Linked DNA regions of Cricetulus griseus. The protein of the gene in region 1 interacts with the protein of each later gene in a pairwise test. Links are inferred from orthologs where the notes say so. Each region holds a gene or a part of one and is shown on either strand. Other genes may lie near its edges.

Region 1 (3,559 bases):
AGGACTAGGAGGGGACACTCCACAGAGCAGCCGGCCTTGGGGAGGAGGGGAGAAGTGCTTGGTCCCCAGAACACAAAGTGGAAGAAGCAAGAAAGGAACCCAGTCCTGACATTGTCCTATGACCTCCATGTGTTTCACAACATGTGCCTGGGAGTGCGCTCACATATACGTACACACACACACACACACACACACACACACACACACACACACACACAAATAATGCCCTGCAAAGCAGGTGTAAACACACACATACATACATACTTATATACACACATACATACACCGTTATAGTTTTTTGCTTTTAAGTTATTAATTTATTGATAAATTAAATGAGACAGACTAGCAGCAGGCAGTGAGTTGTCACCATGACTGCACACTGAGGTCTCCCTGCCAAGCCCAGGCCCTACCTGTGTCCGCGCATTGAGCAGCTGCTGGAAACTCTCCACCTCTTTGCTGTCGTCAGCAGCCCGCTCCTAAGGAAGACAAAGAGTGAGGAACTTGGGAACAGCCTTCAGCCCAGCACCTCCTGTAATCGCACACCACACCGCAGACACTGCCAGAATCCAGGGCTAAAGCCCCCTTGGTGAGGCTGACGAGCATGGGCACGCCCCGTGGGGGAGGGCAGCATTACCATCAGCACACCCAGCATCATGTCGTAGTTGTTGATCAGAAACACGAGCTGCTCCTTCCTGGAGGAGAACTCCGCAGCCACTCGGAGGACAAAGTTCTCCACCTCCACCTGCAAAAGCCAAACAGAGAGCAAGTCAGAGACACAGGTCCCAGGGCCCCTCCCCATGCTGGGAAGCCTGCCCGCCCCGCCCGGCCCACCTGGAGCTGCCCCAGCAGCTGCAGGGTGCGCTCATTGGGGATGGTCTGGTTGATGCTGACAAGGGCAGACGAGAACTCGGCATAGCGGCGCGTGATCTAGGACCAAGGAGGGGAGACGCCCATCAGCCTGCCAGGCCGACATAACCTCCCAGCAGCCTCTGCAGCTCCTGTCCCCAGTCCCTCCTCCTGCAGTGGCCAGCCCACCGCTGCGTGTGACCCCGAGACCCCTTGTTATCCTCCCCCGCCCTCACATAGTGGGGCCGCGTGTCCAGTCCTCCGAGGCGCTGGGGGTCGGTGGTGCGGACACTCTGGACGTTCATCTCCAGGATCAGCTCAAACCGAGGCCACAGCAAGGCCAACACCTGCTCCCAGTACCTGCAGGGTCAGTCAGAACCAAAGGTCAGCAGGCTACGGGTGCTGGCAGGCCATGGGGGCACAGCACCCTTCAGGGGAATGTGAGCGGGTGTGTGTGTGCCTGTGTGTCCGTGTCTGTATGCACGGATGTGTGTGTGTGTGTGTGTGTGTGTGTGTGTGTGTGTGTGTGTGTGTGTGACAGGGATGCTGCCTTGGGGACACACACAGGATAAGGGTGAAGGACATCGGGTGAGGAGGAGCCAGGGGCAGGGTGGAGTTGTCGGTGTGAGATAAAAAGCTGGACCCAGCAGGCACCAGGACCAGAGCTCAGTGACCTGTCCAGAGCAGGGACATCCCTCTTCGATGCAATGCTGCGGAATCGGAGGACAATGTGGATACAGAGAAAAACAGCAATGGCGTCATAGCAGTCGGCCAGGTAGGACTCCAGGTGTTTCTGCGGCACAGCAGGCAGACAACTGAATGCTAGTTTGAAGTTCCAGTGGCTATGAGCAAATGGATGTGCACTTCTGGGGACAAGGCGCTGGCTAGGGAGACACCTCCTTCCTTGTCCAGGGGCCCTGACTTACTCACTGGCCTCAACTCTGTAAGCTCCTCACAGTTGAAGCCAGGGCTGAGCCTGGGATGGAGGTAAAGGATCGCGATTTAGAGGTCTTGCTCTCTGCTTGTGGAAACAGAGGAAGCAGCAGGTCCCCCGAGTTCTGAGGGTTTCCTAGGGGGCCATGTTGTGAGATAAAGGCTTGGACAACGTAGAACGGGACATCCTGCATTCAATACTGCCACTGTGACCCCACTGGACGTGGAGGAGCCCTGGGAAGGGAGAGTAAAAGCACAGAATCGGGGACTTACCAGAGTCATGGCGAGCGTGCGGCCCATGACAGCATGGAACAGGTCATGTGCAGCTGGGCCAGACACAACAAAAAATTCACAGATGAAAAGATACTCCCGGCAGGAATTGTCAAGGAGCGCGTAGTGCTGGCTGCGGAAGAGAGCTTCAAACGGATACTACGGGACAGAGAGAGGGGTGGATCCAACACTGACCCCGCAGATACGGGGGCTCAGTGTATCCCAGGAACCAGAGCTCGGAAGACCCCACACATACCTCACCTCCAGGAAGGGAGGGGCACCCTGGGGGCGCACAGGACACAAGGAAAGCCCACCCCACTGGCTGCGGCCATCCCCACATCCACTCCAGCTGCTGCCTCATGACAGCCACCCCACGACCAGTCTCCCTCTGCACCCTAAGCCCATGGCTCCTGTCCCCACAGCGCAGCAGGCGAATTGATCCCCAGCCACGGAGGGGGCCTCCTCATACCCTCTGCTCCCCACGCTGGGCAGTATGGGGCACCAGGATGGGGGCCTCCAGTTCGGTGGGGGAGATGACCGCACCACGGGTGCCCAGGGTGAAGATGGTGTTCCTGCTTCGGAGGGACGGCTTCGAGAAGAATCGTGAACAGCATCAGAGTCAGGGAAAACACTGAGAATGACCAAGCAGGCCATGAAGCCAAGACCTGAGCACTCTGGGAAGCTAAATATGAGCTGGACATCCCTTCCAGAACCAGGGCCTCGCTTCACCTGATACCTGTAATGGGCGTCAGGGATTCTACAAGCCCTCCGAAATCCACGTGAAAAACTGTCAGAATGATGTGAGCCTCTGGGAGGGGAGCTCTCGCTCTCTCTCACATCCTCAAAGGTTACATCCCAGACACAGGGTAAGCAGAGGCCTGTGGGCTGGAGCCAGGCATCCCCACTGTGAGCCTGACAGGAGGTGAGCCTGACTTGAGGGAGGTGAGCCTGACTTGAGGGAGGTGGAGCCTGACTTGAGGGAGGTGGAGCCTGACTTGAGGGAGGTGGAGCCTGACTTGAGGGAGGTGGAGCCTGACTTGAGGGAGGTGGAGCCTGACTTGAGGGAGGTGGAGTCTGACTTGAGGGAGGTGGAGTCTGACTTGAGGGAGGTGGAGCCTGACTTGAGGGAGGTGGAGCCTGACTTGAGGGAGGTGGAGCCTGACTTGAGGGAGGTGGAGCCTGACTTGAGGGAGGTGGAGCCTGACTTGAGGGAGGTGGAGCCTGACTTGAGGGAGGTGGAGCCTGACTTGAGGGAGGTGGAGCCTGATTTGAGGGAGGTGGAGCCTGACTTGAGGGAGGTGGAGCTTGACTTGAGAGGGGTGGAGCCTGACTTGAGGGAGGTGGAGCCTGACTTGAGGGAGGTGGAGCCTGACTTGAGGGAGGTGAACCTGACTTGAGGGAGGTGGAGCCTGACTTGAGGGAGGTGGAGCCTGAATTAGGGAGGTGGAGCCTGACTTGAGGGAGGTGGAGCCTGACTTGAGGGAGGTGGAGCCTGACATGAGGGAGGTGG
Region 2 (4,337 bases), on another chromosome or scaffold:
GGAAATCCAGGAAGGGCTCATGCTGATGTATCACGGCCAAGTGCAGGGCCCTGGGGACAGAGGCAGAGGTCAGTAAACACGAGTGTCTACTGTATGCTGCAAACTGTAGCCATAACTGGAAACACTTCAGTGTCCCGGAGAGCCAGGGACAGGAGCGAATCCAGCAACTTCCTTTGTCTGCCTGATTGGTGTTCTGAGATAAGACAAGGGTCTTCATAAACTACCCAGGCTGATCGGGAGTTCAAGTTCTTCCTGCTTCGGCCTCCCGAGTAGCTGGGCTGACAAGCCTGTGACAGCAGGTCCAGCTACCAACTTTGTCTTACCAGTGTTTATTTTAAAGAATTTAGCTACCTGTAGTAGCTCAAATTCCAGCACCTGGGGAAGGTGAGGCAGAAGGATTGTTACTTCAAGGCCAGACTGGGCTACATGGTAAGTTCTAGACTAGCAGGGCCAAATACTAAATAGTGCAATTCTGTCACAAAAAAAACAAAGCCGGGTGTTGGTGGCACACGCCTTTAATCCCAGCACTCGGGAGGCAGAGGCAGGCGGATCTCTCTGAGTTCGAGGCCAGCCTGGTCTCCAGAGCGAGTGCCAGGATAGGCTCCAACGCTACACAGAGAAACCCTGTCTCGAAAAAACAAAACAAACAAACAAACAAACAAAAAAACCAAAAAACAAAACAAAAGCAAAAACAAAACCAAAAATGGTGGCTTGTGTGAAAGAGGCAGAAGCTGGTGGATCCCTGTGAATTCCAGGCTAGTCTAGTCTGCATGGTAAATTCTAGGTCAGCCAGGACTACATTGTGAAACCTTGTTTCAAATAATAACAACAACGTGTAGAACAATTGAGGTAGACAGTGAACACCAATCACTGGCCTCCAAACACAAGCATACTTACATACACAAAGACAAACAAACTGGGTATGAGAGCCCTAGCCCCAGCTTCTAATTTTAGTACTTCCCAAGCTAAGGCAGGAGGATCACAAGTGTAAGGCTACACAGTGAAGGCCTGACTCAAAAAACAAAATACAAAAAAAGTGGAAAACTAGGGCAGGGGCTGGGATGTGGGTTGGGGGTGCACCTGCCTAACATGTGCAAGACCTCAGGCTTAACTGGCAGCAACACACACACACACACACTATGGCTCCAATAACAAACCTTCAAATTACATAAAGCAGCCAGGTGTTGGTGGTACATGCCTTTAATCCAACACCGGGGAGGAGAGTTCCAGGCCAGCCTGGTCTACAGAGAGAGGCTCCAGGACAGGCTCCAAAGCAATACAGAGAAAATCTGTCTCGAAAAAAGCTAAGGTTCTCCGGCCAGCTAACCTAGCCGATGTGTTGAGTACTGGACCAGTGAAAGACTGTCTCAAAACAAAACAACCCAAGGTTATCCTCTAGTCTACACACACACCCTGGCTGAGTATAATGATGCATACTTTAGAGGAGGATGAAAAATTGAAGGCTATCCTCAGCTAAACAGCAAGCTCAAGGCCATCATGGGCTACATGAGACTGCCCGACCCCCCCAAAAAAGGAAGGAGGAGAAAGAAAATTACAAAATTCAAATCTAAAAGTAATCAGAATAAAATAATAAAGGAACAAGGACCAATAACATAGAAAGTGAAAAATAAGAAAATTAAGGAAATTACACCTGGTTCTTTAAGAGTGCTTATTATGTTCCCTTCATGGGTCAGGCACTGAGTCATTGGGCACACGCAAAAAGCACAAAGGACAAAAAATCCCGGGTACAATCCCTTGCATAGCCCTTCACCACAGCTGCCCTTCTCCCCAGTCAAATTTTACAATTATTTTTCAATCTCCCTCTCCTTTTTCCCCTCTTTTTCTTTTCTTTTCTTTCCTCTCTCTCTCTCTCTCTCTCTCTCTCTCTCTCTCTCTCTCTCTCTCTCTCTCTCTCTCTCTCTCTCTCTCTTGTTGCTGTTGTCGTCTTGTTTTTTGAGACAAGGTTTCCCTGTGTAACTAACTACCTTGGCTGTCCTGGGACTCACTCTGTAGACCACGCTGGTCTTGCACTCACAGAGATCCGCCTGCCTCTGCCTCTGCAGTGCTGGGATTAAGGGCGTGCGCCACCACGGCCGGGCATCACTTCAATTTCTTAATTGCAAATCAATGCTGGAAGTGTCAAGAGTCGTAGACTCAGGGCCAAGGACTAATTTTGGGAATCAAAATCTGGCTTATACAAGAGTAGCTACGGATCAAAAGCCACATTTGGAAGCAAGAGGTCAGAATTCGTGGGAAAGGTCTGGGGGGACCGGGTTGGAAAGGTTCAGATGCGGTATGGGGACCCATGGTAAGGATGCGGATTCCAGGAGCACAAATTTACAGTTCCAAGAAAGGCGAGACGCTTGACCGTGGGTGAAACCAGACTCACAACTTAGGATTGGGGGTGGGGGGAGTTATGTATGGGTCAGGAAGGCTCGTATCGGAAGTCAGGGGTAGGAACCAGAAGGTAGTAAGTAAGTCACAGAATCACAAGCCGATGGAGGCTCAGGTAGGATCCCGGGGCTCCGTTTGGTAGGTAATTTAAGGTTTACTCACGTGTCCCCATCCTCAGTGACGTAGCCAAAGACCAGGGGCGCCCACGACAACTCCGGGCCCAGCTCTGCGCCCAGCCCTGGTCCTCCGGGAGCCGCCGCGTCGGGACCCAGGGAGCCTAGGCCGCTGTCGCACCATTCGTCGACGTCCGCGCTTTTCCCCAAGCACGCGACCCCGGCCATGGCCCAGCCACCTCGGTGGCCCCCTGTGGTCGCCCGCCCGACGCTGGGCTCTGCGGTGAGCTCCAGCGCTTCCGCCCTGCCGGGAATTCCCCAACACGCCCCCTCATCTACCCAATAAAAACAAGCTAAATGGCTACGCTCCGCCCCCGTGCGTCGCCAGAACCAATCAGGATAATGAGATGCACGCCGGCTCTCTGAGTTTCCCCACTTTTTCCAGACGCCCTTTATCAATATGGCTTCAGGCACCAGGCCTTTTGGGATTTGTAGTTCTATGCCACGAGCGGCTCGTCGCGCGAAAGGGTTTGCTGAGGACGGCGTGGGCTGCCGGGAGTTGTAGTCCTCTGGCCTATCTCGGTCCCCTCTTGCTTCCGGTGCCGTCACGGGACAGAGCAGTCGGTGACAGCTCCGAGGGCCCCCACCCCGCTCCCATGGCCGAGCCGGATCGTGAGTCGGGGGCCCAGGTGGGAGGGTCGGGCCGCGCCGGGGCCTGGCTTTGGGCTGCAGGCCCCGGGGCCCGAGGACAGGCTCGGTGGGGTGGGAGGAAGGGGCTGCACGAAGGGAGTGGGATTTGGAGGGCCGTTGCTAAGTGGTCGGTGTTGCTAGGTTGGTGGGATTCTGGGTTGTGAGATTTCTTGAAGGGTCCGTTTGCCAAGTTCTTAATGATCGCGTTTCTCGCACCTTGGTTGCTGAGAACCCTCGTTGCTAAGGACCAAAGTTGCTACGATCCCGGTTGCTAAGGTTATCTGGTGTTAGGGGCAACTGTAGGATGTTCGGGAACCCCTGCTGCCCCTTTCCATCTCATTCCTTCAGTTCCTGTGTCTCTCCTAAACCTCCTGCCTCCACTCCATCTCCTCTCCCACACTCAACTCCAGCCGAGGTATCCCCATTTCCATCTCTTGAAAAACTTCGCCCTCCCTCTCTCTCCTGGCTGGCACTCACACTACCGCGTCCTGCCTGACTCTGAAGTCTTCCTTCAGTCCTGTCGCACCTGCTTTCTCCTCCTAAACCTCCCCCTCAGCCTTTCCACCTCACACATGTGTCTTCCACTCTAAAATATGCCTGTCCCCGTCTCCGACAGTTTTACTACCGTCCCTGACTCCAGGATAACTAGGTTAGTGGGTTCTCTCGTTGCCTCCACCACTGTGAATCCTTCATCCCTTTAACTGCCCCCCCCACTGTAACCACGTCTGCTCCCCCTCCTCCCCAGCCTCTGACCCTGTGGAGACCCAGGCAGGGAAGGTGCAGGAGGCTCAGGTGAGATGGGGAAACGGGTTGGAGGGAAGGAGAGAGATGGACTTGGTTCCACATTCCACACTGGGGGGAGGTGGCAAGGGGAGGCTTTTACCCAAGGGTCCTTGGCTTATGGGTTCTGGTCCCTAATTCCATCTGGGGATTAGTACAGCCTCCTGGGGAATGGTGGCTTCTGGGGACTGTCAAGGAAAAATGCCCAATATGGTTCCCCTTCCATATTGTCTTCTTACTGTTACCCACCCTTTCCTCAGCCCTTTCTGAACCTCATTTGTGCTGGGCCTGGAAGAGATGGTTTTCTAGTTTGATCCCCAAACTCACAAATTTCATGGGGTGGGGGAAATGACCTTATAG

The links.
Region 2: the proteins of Vps52 (region 1) and Nfkbib interact in binary tests that used the Homo sapiens proteins (3 or more experiments, as listed by UniProt). The two-hybrid records come from large-scale screens. The link is inferred for Cricetulus griseus from reciprocal best matches to the Homo sapiens genes VPS52 and NFKBIB.

Annotation. Positions count from the first base shown.
Region 1 is NW_023276806.1:232,050,652-232,054,210, forward strand, and holds part of Vps52 (vacuolar protein sorting-associated protein 52 homolog), read right to left. Parts: intron 2,653-3,559; coding exon 2,519-2,652; intron 2,209-2,518; coding exon 2,053-2,208; intron 1,640-2,052; coding exon 1,521-1,639; intron 1,207-1,520; coding exon 1,083-1,206; intron 928-1,082; coding exon 832-927; intron 743-831; coding exon 635-742; intron 477-634; coding exon 411-476; intron 1-410. UniProt on the Homo sapiens protein: Acts as a component of the GARP complex that is involved in retrograde transport from early and late endosomes to the trans-Golgi network (TGN).
Region 2 is NC_048602.1:7,103,787-7,108,123, reverse strand, and holds the start of Nfkbib (NF-kappa-B inhibitor beta), read right to left. Parts: upstream 2,815-4,337; 5' UTR 2,736-2,814; coding exon 2,557-2,735; intron 51-2,556; coding exon 1-50. Other genes in the region: Sirt2 (NAD-dependent protein deacetylase sirtuin-2), read left to right, coding at 3,164-3,179, 3,943-3,989. UniProt on the Homo sapiens protein: Inhibits NF-kappa-B by complexing with and trapping it in the cytoplasm.